3 linked regions of the Oryctolagus cuniculus genome follow. The protein of the gene in region 3 purifies or fractionates together with the protein of the main gene of each other region. This does not show direct contact. Links are inferred from orthologs where the notes say so. Each region holds a gene or a part of one and is shown on either strand. Other genes may lie near its edges.

The links. The genes of interacting proteins can lie anywhere in the genome.
Region 1: the proteins of SLC31A1 (region 3) and STX7 purify together in Homo sapiens (affinity purification with mass spectrometry; 3 studies listed by BioGRID and IntAct, counting the BioPlex papers as one, with this or other methods). This does not show direct contact. The link is inferred for Oryctolagus cuniculus from reciprocal best matches to the Homo sapiens genes SLC31A1 and STX7.
Region 2: the proteins of SLC31A1 (region 3) and B3GAT3 purify together in Homo sapiens (co-immunoprecipitation; 3 studies listed by BioGRID and IntAct, with this or other methods). This does not show direct contact. The link is inferred for Oryctolagus cuniculus from reciprocal best matches to the Homo sapiens genes SLC31A1 and B3GAT3.

Annotation. Positions count from the first base shown.
Region 1 is NC_091436.1:36,549,396-36,553,590, reverse strand, and holds the start of STX7 (syntaxin-7), read right to left. Parts: upstream 2,881-4,195; 5' UTR 2,751-2,880; intron 1-2,750. UniProt on the Homo sapiens protein: May be involved in protein trafficking from the plasma membrane to the early endosome (EE) as well as in homotypic fusion of endocytic organelles. Mediates the endocytic trafficking from early endosomes to late endosomes and lysosomes.
Region 2 is NC_091432.1:8,936,455-8,940,794, forward strand, and holds the start of B3GAT3 (galactosylgalactosylxylosylprotein 3-beta-glucuronosyltransferase 3), read left to right. Parts: upstream 1-1,460; 5' UTR 1,461-1,596; coding exon 1,597-1,678; intron 1,679-2,605; coding exon 2,606-2,780; intron 2,781-3,576; coding exon of another isoform or gene 3,577-3,721; intron 3,722-3,853; coding exon 3,854-4,214; intron 4,215-4,340. UniProt on the Homo sapiens protein: Glycosaminoglycans biosynthesis. Involved in forming the linkage tetrasaccharide present in heparan sulfate and chondroitin sulfate.
Region 3 is NC_091432.1:216,862,430-216,866,028, reverse strand, and holds part of SLC31A1 (high affinity copper uptake protein 1), read right to left. Parts: intron 2,736-3,599; coding exon 2,534-2,735; 3' UTR 1-2,533.

The DNA of each region.
Region 1 (4,195 bases), on a different chromosome or scaffold from region 3:
TCTTCTGGAGTAAAATATGAGAAATAAGGGACCAAAAGGATGACTTTACTCTAAAACGGGCACACACAAATAGACAGTTAACTATAAACTGACCTAAAAGGTTATGAACTTTGCATACAGGTTAAATTGTTGCCAAGTTTTTCAAATGTTTGCTTTCCACATCTGTTTTCAGGACCTAGCTCAAGCTGCTACTGCCTAAAGCACTCTTATGGAATCCCTTTCAAAGTCCATTTAGAATTCCTAGTTTCATTCCTCAGACTGACAATTACATAACATTATCTGGACCTGCACTGTCTAACAGAGTAGTCACAAACTCCATAAGCTATTAAAACTACAATTAAGTCAAAAGAAAAATTCAGCCCTGAGTCATAACAGCAACCTCTCAAGGGTTCAAAGATTGTATGTGGCTAGTGTCCAAAGCCCAGACAGCTCCTGGACCGTCCACTTCCATGCTTGCAGCAAGTTCTGCGAGGATGATGCTGATCTCACCTCGGTAATTATCTTTGTGGAGATATACGAGGTCTGGGCACTACAAAGAGAAAAAGGGGCAGGGTAGATCAAAGCGCAGCACTCATAACGAGTCTTCTCAGACTGCTTCTAAAGGAACAAAGGGAATTTCAAAATGGAACCCTGGGTGACAAACACTGTCCTCACTTACCAGTGGCCATGCTGCAGAACCTTTAAGATTCCAGTAAGCATAGATCTTGTGTTCTTTAAATCTAGGCTGGGCAAAGAAGTGGTCAGTTTCACTTTCTCAATCATCAGCACCAGCATATAATACTGAATTTCTTTGCAGGTTGTGCACCAATACATAAGTTCCCGGAGTCATGGGGGTGATAACTTGTGTGTGTGTATGTGTGTGGACTGTTTGATTTTCAGAATTCAGGTACATAATAGGTGCTCAATTAATATTTGTAGAACAAATGAATAAAATGACCATACTTCTGAGAGACATGGACCCATCCTGAGGGTATATATAAGGGGTCTTCAGAAAGTTCATGGAAAATACCTATCACAAAAAATTTATGCGTGAATTTCAAAAACGTTTTGCACCAAAATAAACTTATCTTTTCTTTCTACTTCTACATAAGCATTCTGATGTACATTCACACTTCCATTTCTAAAGCACTGGATTCCAAAGCCTCTTTCAGATCCCAAAAGGATGCCCCAAGGTTATGGTTGTCTTGTGCCTGATGCCATTTCCCAACCTTGGAATGCTCTTTCCCGTGATCTGCACGGGACAGGCTACTTTTCCCAGGAGTTATCTATCACATGCTAGAGAAAGCCAGGCCTGATGTGAGAATTCACCACTCCTGCCACTCTGTCATTCTCTCTCAGTGCTCCCTAACACTCATCACTATCTAATTATTTAATTGGCATATGCTTATGTCTATCCTCATCTTTGGAACACAACAGATATCCAACGTTGTCATCTTGTGGTACGTGTAGTACCAGGTGCACAGTAGATGCTCAATGAAAGTGAGAGCGCTCACTACGGCTTAGTAATCTCTACACCTGCTCAACAGAGGCATTCCTCAAGCCACTACCTCCACAGGATGAGCCATTACACTACTCAGTGTTAGTTCACATTACCAAGGGCTTTGTTTTCACTTTTCCCACATTAAGCTTTCAAATTACATGGAATCACAGGAAAGCCTCACTCAGACTTACTGCAGATATTTTATATAATTTAATTTTCAACTACCAGTACTTGGCTGAAGTTTGGGAACATAACTAAAATTAGAATTGACTTGTTATCTGCAGCATAAGTAAAACATCTGAAGGAAAAATGACATAAACTTTGTAGAAGTGAATGATACTCATTAGACACTTTCAAACTACAGCCCAATTTCTAACTTGTCACAAGGCTGAGGCTGATCCACAACACCAGATGCAGATGTAGTGGAACATTTTTTCCCCCAGTCTCTGCCCAGGTGCAGCTCAGAGCAGAAGGAACACCCACCTCCGACATTACTAAACAGTACAGCATTTCATAATTACTTCCTTTTCTTCCAGATTCCGGGCAAGATTTAAATTATATATAACTGTGTCGAATACAGTGATCGGAGGTACAAAAAACGAATACACAAGTGTAAGAGCCAAGCAAATGTCAGAAATATGAGAGAGAAAACACAGCATTTGATCATAAAAGCAATGTTCCTATTAACCCATTCTGTCTAAATTTAAAGAAAGAGAGGGGTATGGAGGTGCTCGGAATTCTTAAAATATTGTGATTTCCAAGGCCTTAAAAATGTAATAAAAAGAAAGTTGGCATGTCAAAGTCACCAAAGCCAAACACAAAGGGCCGCTGAACACACGTCTAGGGTTTGTCTACCACAAGCATTTGACTCTCGTGCCCCTGTTTTCGGGAAGTTTCAAGCATGTGTTTGTCGACCCGTAAGTTAAAAGGAGGAAGAGGTCTCTTGTCTGTTCTCTCCAGCCTCGGGAGCGCAGCCCTGGGCGGCTCCAGGCGGCTGCCACCCGGCAAGCGCCGGACTGGCGGAGCTGGCGAGGCCGGCCGAACCGCCTCACCTCGGCCGCGAGTGCGGGTCCAGCGACGGGCCCGGGGGGCTTGGGGACGGCCGGCGCTCCGGGAGCACGGGCAGCACCCGCCCTTCGCCTCCCGCGAGTCTGCCGCAGAGCTCAGGGCGGCGGCCGGCGGACCAAGCGCACAGAGCAGGTGGCAACGCTGCAGGGACACCGCGACTCCGGCCGCCCAGCCAGAGCCCCCTGCCCCACGCCTCTCTTACCCTGACCACTTCGGCTTCCTCCTCCTCCAGCGGCCGCTGTCACCCCGGGGCCCCACAGCCCCCAGCTGCAACTCTCAGCTGATGGGCGGCGGCACAGGAACACCCACTGCGCATGCTCCCAGTGTAACCCGGAGAAGAAGGCGAGGCTAGAGGGGCTAGCTCCTCACCCATTGGCTTTAGGGACTGAGTGACAGAGAACCTCTCCCGCCCCCTCTGGTTCACAGCGAAGGAATGGAAGCGCCAGCAAAATTGCAGGGGGCAGTTCTTTGAAGGCGGGCACACAAATGGTGGAAGCCTTAGCCTGCATACAGAAGAAAAGAGGAGGAAATGGAGGGTATTCGTCTTCTTCATCCCATGAAGCCAACCCCCTGGACTCGTGCCTTCACCCCGCCCCCGCCTTAGGCTCTTCCCTGTCTCCTTTCCTAACCTTTAACTCCGCCGTAGACCGAATGCACAGCTCCATTCGAAAATGCAAACGCAGATACGCCATCCTAGCAGGAACAATGAAGGGACAGGGGAACACCCCGGGTACTCACTCAGTGGACTAGCTTTTCTTGATCACGCAAGTCAGTCCAAACATCCTTGAAAGGCAAGAAGCAATCTTCGTGGACTTTAAAATTGGAAGAGAATGTTCCAATAATAAATATTCAATAGGAAGTATTACCTGAAAAGCATCAGTTGCTTCAAGTGAGAGAAATACTTTACTAAACTAATTAGAAGATACAATGGCTTGGCCTTTGCTCCTATCAAGGCAACATTGTTTTCCAAAAAGATCATAAGATTAAGTGAGAAGTCTAGGGCTACTTAGAAAAGCAAAACAAAACACTAAGCACAAAGTGTTTTGAATTAGTACTACTTAGAAAATTCTAGGCTGTTTGGTGTTATACATGCACATGTATATCCCTGAATACATCAGGACTAGTCTTTACCTCTGTGAGATGGAAATAATACAAAGAGATGGGCTTGCTGGCCAAGTAGAGGGCACACCCTCACCTAAAGGCAGTGTGATTCAGATATGACCATTGTGAATGTTTGGGAATATTGGCCAATAAAGTCAAATTGTCTGCTTTTCGGGATATAGTGGAAATTCTATTTGTGTGTGTATGTGTGTGTGTGATATGTGAAGTTTTCTTTTTTGATGTTCTCAAATTGTTATGAAACATTCTCTGATCAGACAAAGTATGTGTTTGAACTCAAATAGTAGGCAGCAGTGACAGCCCCTGAAGCTGGAGAGACCCTTGTGGAAAATCTAGTGCCACTTCCTCATTTCATAGATTAAAGAAACCGAAACCCAAAGAAATATGAAAATCACAAATTATGAACAGCACAGGTCCAGATAGCCTAATTCAGAATTTAGAATCTTTCCTACTGTTTCATTCATTCAGAAAATGTTCATTGAGATCCTGCCACATGCCAAGTACTGCAGATGTCAAGGTAAGTAGGAT
Region 2 (4,340 bases), about 210 Mb from region 3:
CCCATGGGAGACCAGGAGAAGCACCTGGCTCCTGCCATCGGATCAGCGCGGTACGCTGGCCGCGGCGGCCATTGGAGGGTGAACCAACGGCAAAGGAAGACCTTTCTCTCTGTCTCTCACTGTCCACTCTGCCTGTCCAAAAAAAAAAAAAAAATATTTAAAAGGCAGTGACCTAGAGGGAGAGATGGAGATCTTCCATCAGCTGGTTTATTCCCCAAATGGCCACAACAGCCAGGACTGGGCCAGACCAAAGCCAGGAGCCCAGAGTTCCAACGGAGTGTTCCATGTGAGTACTTGGGCCATCCTTTGCTGCTTTCCCAGGTGCATTATTTGGGGAGCTGGACTAAAACAGTAACGGATGTGAACCTGTGCTCTGATACAGGATGCCAGCGTCGCAAGTAGCAGCCATAACACTGGCCCTGAGTTGGCTATTTAAAAATTCTTAAAAAATTTATTAATGCAGAATAGATTTCATGTATTTTATAGAACAATTCTGAGAATATAACTATACTCCCGTCCCTTCCTGAATTGGCTATTTGTAAGTAGGAAAAATGGCAGCTAAGGATGGCTTGTGTTTGTGAGGATGTGGAGCCGAGTTCATGGGATTCCCCAGCTCAGGGAATAGTTCCAGTTGCCTGTAGGTGGCCTGCCTTGGCACACCTCTTCCCCCAGGCACCTGCTGCAGAAATGTGGGCCATGGGAGACTGTGCAGATCCCGGAATCAGGTATGTGGAAGGGGCATAGAAAACCACCCCGTGGGAATGACATCATTTTTGCCCATCTTGTTAGTGGACACAGGGGCCTGTTTGCTTGGGTGTCACCAAATAATCAGCCTCAAGGAGCTGCTCAAAAGAAAGTTTGCTTGTGACAGTGGGGAGGTAGAGTTCCCTACAGGTGTCTCCCAGAGGTGCAGCGTGCCAGGACGCAAAGGGAGAACGGAGCAGCCTTCCTGTGGAAGCAGACATCATACGTGGCATGCACGAGGCGGCTTTCCTTGTGTGTGGCGGTCCTGCCCGCACCAGCAGTGAGGACGAGCGATCCCGGAGCAGCCTCTGAAAACCAAGCTCCAGAAAACGAAGTGGTTCAGGGTCTCTGCCCCTGCGCCCTCTTACCTACAACCTTGGCGATGCCGACTATGTCAGGATTCCGGCGAGGATTCTTGGGACGCTCTTGTACCCGCCGGGCACATGGCAGGCCCCGAATTCCATTCACTGTGTAACAAGCTAGTGGGTGCCCCGGCTGGCGAGCGGATGAATGAACACCAGGGGAGGCTGGGTGCGAGGACCGGCTTTAAACTCCGCGCCCAGCGGGCGGGTCTAGAGGTGGCTCCCACGTGCCTCCACCCCGGCCCTGACACCGGATATGACGTCAGTCCGCGGTTCCCGGAACTAGGCGGAGAGACCGGAAATTGACTCGGGTGGCGGGGGGCACAGCACAGATGACCGGAAGTGCTGAGCCCGGGCGGCGAGGCCAAGCCCCCCGCTCCCGGGCCCAGTGGAGAAGCGCTGGGAGGGCGGGGTCGGTGCAGGGGCGGGGCCTGCGGGCTGGCGGCGGGGGCGGGGACCCCCGTGCTCCTGCGCCCGCGGCGGCGCGGCCATGAAGCTGAAGCTGAAGAACGTGTTTCTCGCCTACTTCCTGGTGTCGATCGCCGGCCTCCTCTACGCGCTGGTGCAGCTCGGTGAGCGGGGCGGGGCGGGGGTGCGTCCACCCATCCCGCTCGGCCCCACGGACGGCCCTCTGCGGCCGCGGGCGCACTGGCCCTCCCTGGGACGCACCGCGGCTCCCCGCCGCACCTCGGCCGAGCCTGCAAGGCCTGCATGATCCTGTCGCCGTTCGCCTCTCGAGCCCCACTTGCTCCCCTCTCCCCTGCTCTGCTCCGGCCGGCCTGCCTTCCTGACAGCTCCTCCCAAAACCCCAGGCTGATTGCTCGCGCAAGCTTCACCAGGTCCCTCTGTCCGTGCTTGTGTCCCGGGTCTTCCCTGGTTGCCTCTTATCCTAGCTCGAATGTCACCTCCCCTGACCACCCTAGCTACAGTCATCTCTTCCCGATTCCCTTTTATTCTCTACCCTATGTATTCCCTTCATGGCCGTAGCGATTTTGTTAATTTGCTGCTTTGCTTACTGTCTGCCTCCCTTACCAACCTGAAAGCGCCGTAAGGGGTGAGACCGCGTCTGTTTTGCCCCAAAGGCAGTGCCTCCCCCGAGGAGCATTCAATAAATATTTATCCAATGATGGCATCGATGAATTTAATGAGTCTTTGGTCACAGACAAGGAGACAGGTTGAACCCTGCCTCTTACGCAGGGGCTTAGTGACAGTGCCACCGCATGAGCCTCAGGTATTTGAAAGGCTGCCCTGTTTAAGGGCATCCAGAAGACAAAATTAGGACCAGCAGGCAGAAAGAACAGAGGTAGATTGTCTGCTCAGTGTCCAGATGAAACTTAGAATTTATGAAAGGTGGAGAGAGGCTGCCAGTTGAAGCGGTGCCTTCCACGGCAGCAGAGGGGCAGTAAGGGGATCTCAGTGAGGGTCTGGTCCCCTGGGATGCTGAATGTTCTGATTCTCTGCTCCCACCCCCTTTCCTGACTGGTGCTTCCTGGGACCAGGCCAGCCATGTGACTGCCTCCCTCCCCTGCGGGCCGCCGCGGAGCAGCTTCGGCAGAAGGATCTGAGGATCTCCCAGCTGCAAGCAGATCTCCGGCGCCCACCCCCTGTCCCCGCCCAGCCCCCCGAACCCGAGGCCCTGCCTACTATCTATGTTGTTACCCCCACCTACGCCAGGTATGGGGTCTGGAGCACCCAGAAGGGCTGCGAGTTCGGGGAGGCACAGGGTTGGGGGATGTTGCTCAAAGTAGAGCATGCCAAACGACAGACTAAGTGACCCACGTCTTCACCCCAAGACTTACGGGAAAATGCTCATTCTTCTAGGACAGAGATATGGCTAGACTTTGAAGCAGAATACAAAGGTCCTGCTAAATTTTAGGAGAGAATAATAACGCTTTAAAGAAATTTTGGGCTTGCCAGTGAGTTAACTCTCTCCATAGAAATCCTGTGGTGAAAAAGTTTTAAAAATTCCTGAATAAGGAAGCGGGCAGTCATACCAGGGTCTAGAAGTGGTTACAACCAGCTGTTGTTTCCATGTCAGGCTGGCGTTAAGTGCTTTACATTTGTTTTGACTACATTTTAAATCAAACTGAAGCCTTATTGCTGACAGAAGCTACAGGGGAATGTGGTATTGTACCTGTCACCTAACAGGCCTGTTAACACACACACCTCTCTGGACCCAGGTGGCAGAGCCATCCAGACACAGACAGCTCTGCACAGCGCTCCCTTCCTAGGTGCACACCACCAACCTGGGGCTGGCAGGCAGAGCTGGAGACATAGATACGCAGAAGCTGCCACGCCTCCCATTTCCCAGTGCCTAAACTCAAATCTTCGCCTGGTGTGGAATAAGCCAAGGGGCTTGACTAAAATAAATTCCTTTCTGGAAACCCAGCTCACAAGGCAAAAGAACCTGGTTTACTTGTGCTTTAGAAAGTCACCGTCTTAATTGATCTTTAAAATGTCATCCTTAAAGGTACTGTTAGTCCCATTTCACACATGAGGAAACTGAGGCCAGGGAGAATGAGCCATTTTCCCAAGGTTGCTGACCTAATCAGTTACACAGCAGGGGTTCAAACCCAGGAGGTGGGTGACAGACATGGTCTGGAGAAACAGGGCAGGTGAGCATCAGCGCGAAGGTGACTGGCAAGAAAGGGGGTTTGGGCGCTGCTGGGGAGAGGCCGCGGGAGATGCCCGGGAGCAGCTGTGAGTCCGGGCTGCAGTGAGCACGCGCTGCCTCTCTCCCCCTGCAGGCTGGTGCAGAAGGCAGAGCTGGTGCGGCTGTCCCAGACCCTGAGCCTCGTGCCCCGGCTGCACTGGCTGCTGGTGGAGGACGCCGAGGGCCCCACCCCACTGGTCTCAGGACTGCTGGCTGCCTCCGGCCTCCTCTTCACACACCTGGCGGTCCTCACCCCCAAGGCCCAGCGGCTTCGGGAGGGCGAGCCAGGCTGGGTTCGGCCCCGTGGTGTAGAGCAGCGGAATAAGGCCCTGGACTGGCTCCGGGGCAAAGGGGGTGCTGTAGGGGGAGAGAAGGACCCACCACCACCAGGGACCCACGGAGTTGTGTACTTTGCTGACGATGACAACACCTACAGCCGCGAGCTCTTTGAGGAGGTGAGTGCTGGCATGGGGATGGGGAAAAAGCCAGCTGGGGACCAGCATCATCCGTTACCATGGTTCCCAGTGCTGCTGCAGGCTGCTGGGTGAGGAGTGGGGAGCATGGGGCAGAGTGAGCCCAAG
Region 3 (3,599 bases):
TTTCCAGGAGATTATCTCTATCCTGAAGAGGTTTTTCTCTGTTAGTTTCAGATTTATAATGGTTTTTCTTACCTTACTGATAAGGTCCCAGTACTGGGAAGGTATTTTATAGCAGCTCATGCTGAGATGTCTAGAGAGCACCAGAGTCACTACTAAACCTTGATTCTTACTTGGTTCTCATGGTTTTATGATTCCTTGGCTTCCGAGACAGCCATGGGCTATTTGCACCTTTAGTGCTGGACTCTTGTCAGTAACCGGAATTCACTCTGCCCATGCTAAGTTACCAGGGCTTCAAGCGGATGAAATGAGAGAAAACCACAAAGCTCTAAAATGTTGGTTCTTGGATTTTAACCTCGATCTAGTAGGCTCGTCACCCTCTCTTGGTTCAAAGCCATAGAAGTACACACTCCTCACTCTCCAATATTTAACTGGCATCCACAGAGAAAGTACAAACTTCAAAACCACAACACAAGCCAACAGGACAGCTCTGCCCGAGGCACGGCTGTGTCTGGCTCCGAGGAGGGCAGGGTTGAGCAGACCAGCACAGAAGATTCACTGTACCGAGGTAGTTTGGACTGAAACAAGGCTGCAGTAGAGACTAACAATAAACATCCAATGGGATTCTTCACTTAGAAAAGAGGTTTCTAGCCACTTGTGATCTAATTAATCCCCTAACAGTGACAAAGATGGTCTTTCAGAGGATGGGGATCTGCCTGGCGTGGGCATGGATGCTGGGGCTGATGCAAATCTGGTCATCAGTGGGCCGCACCCTGAGTTTCTCCAAAGAGAAAGCTGAGCTTTGGCCCTTCTGGCCCAGGCTGGCTGATTTACACTGCAGGTCAAAGGTCTCTCTCAACCTTCAAACTCCTTCCAAGAAACCACAGCTCTTTAAAACTGAGGAGTGGTGATTTCATCCATGCTGATCAGAGTACTTTGGCTGCAGCCCTTCCTGCAGATGCGCAGAGGTGCAGGTATAGGTGTACACAGATGGAGCTGCACAACAGTCTTTGGAATGCTTAAGTATTGACCAGCAGCATTTATGACATGAATTATGCCCAGATGTACAACCTACCCATCAGCAATTCAAATTTCCATGCCCAATACCAGATGATGCTTCCTTAATTTAAACCAGAGATTCTTAAAGTGTGGGCCCCCTTGACCATCAATTGGAACAACAATCAAGAACCCAGAAATACCAATTTTGGGGCTCTGGGATTAAGGCCCAGCAATTAGTGTGTCAGCTGCTAGTTCTGATGCATGCTCAACTTTGAAAATCGCTGGTTTGCATGCCGGCACTACAGCTCACTAGGCTAATCCTCCGCCTTGCGGCGCAGGCACACCGGGTTCTAGTCCCGGTCAGGGCGCCGGATTCTGTCCCGGTTGCCCCTCTTCCAGGCCAGCCCTCTGCTGTGGCCAGGGAGTGCAGTGGAGGATGGCCCAAGTACTTGGGCCCTGCACCCCATGGGAGACCAGGATAGGTACCTGGCTCCTGCCATTAGATCAGCGCGGTGCGCCGGCCACAGCGTGCTGGCCGCGGCAGCCATTGGAGGGTGAACCAACGGCAAAGGAAGACCTTTCTCTCTGTCTCTTTCTCTCACTGTCCACTCTGCCTGTAAAAAAAAAAAAAAAAAATCACTGGTTTGGAGACAAACACATGAAAACAGTAATGGGAAAAATTTCAAACTCTTGCTTCATTCAGCTGAGACAAACCAAGGTACTAAGTCAAAGTAAAATGCCAATGGCTTTACAGTTTTATTTTAAAATATCTATTTCTTTTCTCTCAAATTGATTGTCTTTTTTTTTTTTGATTAGCAAATTCATCCTGATCAAAATGGTAAGTGGGAACATAAAATTGATGAGTTAGCAACTCAAGAATACACACTCTGCAAGCCCTGAGCCTGGAATTAGCCTCAACCACCCCTCTGCACACTACAAAGGTTTTGGTGCAAAACATCACAGCTGGAGAAAGGCACAGGGTATTTCCCACTTATTGAGTCCAAAGACTAGAACTCATTTTCTGATGTTAAGTTTGAGTTCCGGGTGTAGTTGGACAAGAATTTCCCTCACCTGCCATTAATCCTGCTCAAAGTCAAACCCTTTCCATCACTGACTCAGGGAAAAACAAAACAACAAAACAAAACAAAACAAAAAACAAATTCATATGCTGTCTGCTAAAAGAAACCAAGAAGATAAAACAAGGAAGCAGATGACCAAGTCATTGAATAGAAAGCTACCCAGATTAGACGAGAACATATAAATGGGATCTAAGATGACAAGGAAAAAGACATCTCGGGTGGCTTCTCTTTAAGAAAAATGGGAATCTCAACTTAGTAGGAAAAAAAAACAGTTTAGGAGGTTACCACTTTACCCCAGGGACTGTAAACTAAACCTCTGTTGAGCTATGTGTGTGTGTGTGTGTGTGTGTGTGTGTGTGTAAGAGGAGCAAGAAGAGATGATTGGAGCAGGAATCATGTCTTCCAGTCTCAAACTGCTTCCCACTGCAATCATTAAGGCCACACCATGGAGTCTGACGTTAATGACAATGCTCTGTGATGTCCACTACCACTGCTTTCTTCCAGCTGAAGAGAAAGTATCCTGTCCCGGCCCCGGCTGCTACGGCAATACAGAGGTACCCGTTGTAGGTCATGAAGATGAGCATGAGGAAGTAGCTGATGACCACCTGGATGATATGCAGCACTGTTTGCAGGAGGTGAGGAAAGCTTAGCATCTGCTGCCTGGAGAGCAAATGGGGACACAACAATCAGACTTCTAGGAGCTCTGAGACCTGGAGGAGGGCAAACGTTGTAGCCACGAGGGCAGCCTCACCTGAACTGCCTTACCACCATCTTGGCAACTCGTGGGCACTTGTGGGTATGGACATTTTACAGTCCCTGAGAATGGAATACCATAGGCTGCCAGGTTGATAAGCATCAGCCAGATATGGTTATATGTGCTTTGAGGAGGAGGACACAGCAAGGAGCAATCCCAGCTTGTCTCCACCTTGGGTCCTGAAAGGGAAGGCTTAGGGAACGTCGGGCCTGTGGGCAATATAAGGCCCCTGAAATCAATTGGTTTGGCCCTGCCAAGGCAACTGCAGGTGGGACTCAAATTCAATAAATCTATAGCAGACTAATTTTGTAAGTCAATCATTTTGTCTGGCCTACAAATGATGCTATAAATAACCAAAGGCCCTTGGCAGAAAAAAGTTTCCCCACTCCTGCAAAACCTCCCATACTTATCTGCCTGAACATTTTTAGGCCTTCCCCCTTGGCAAAGTTCATGTTCCACAAAAGTGGAAACAGAATTGAGGGCTGGGTGGTATAGTAGAAACAACTAAATTAAGGATCAGGAGATCTGGTTACTCATTCTTTCATCTTAACTAAGTTCCAATCTTTTGGGGCTTTAATAAGCTCATCACTACCATGGGAATAAATAATCTTGTTTGCTTGAAAGCTCGAGAGGTTGGTCTTTGGGATTTCTTGAGGCCCAATCTAGTTTTAAGACCTATATTTCTATCAAAACTGGAACTCAAAAAGCAATGCTAATCTATGGAAAAGCTAGCAGTCATCCAAATACTTTCTTGGAATATAGACATCAGT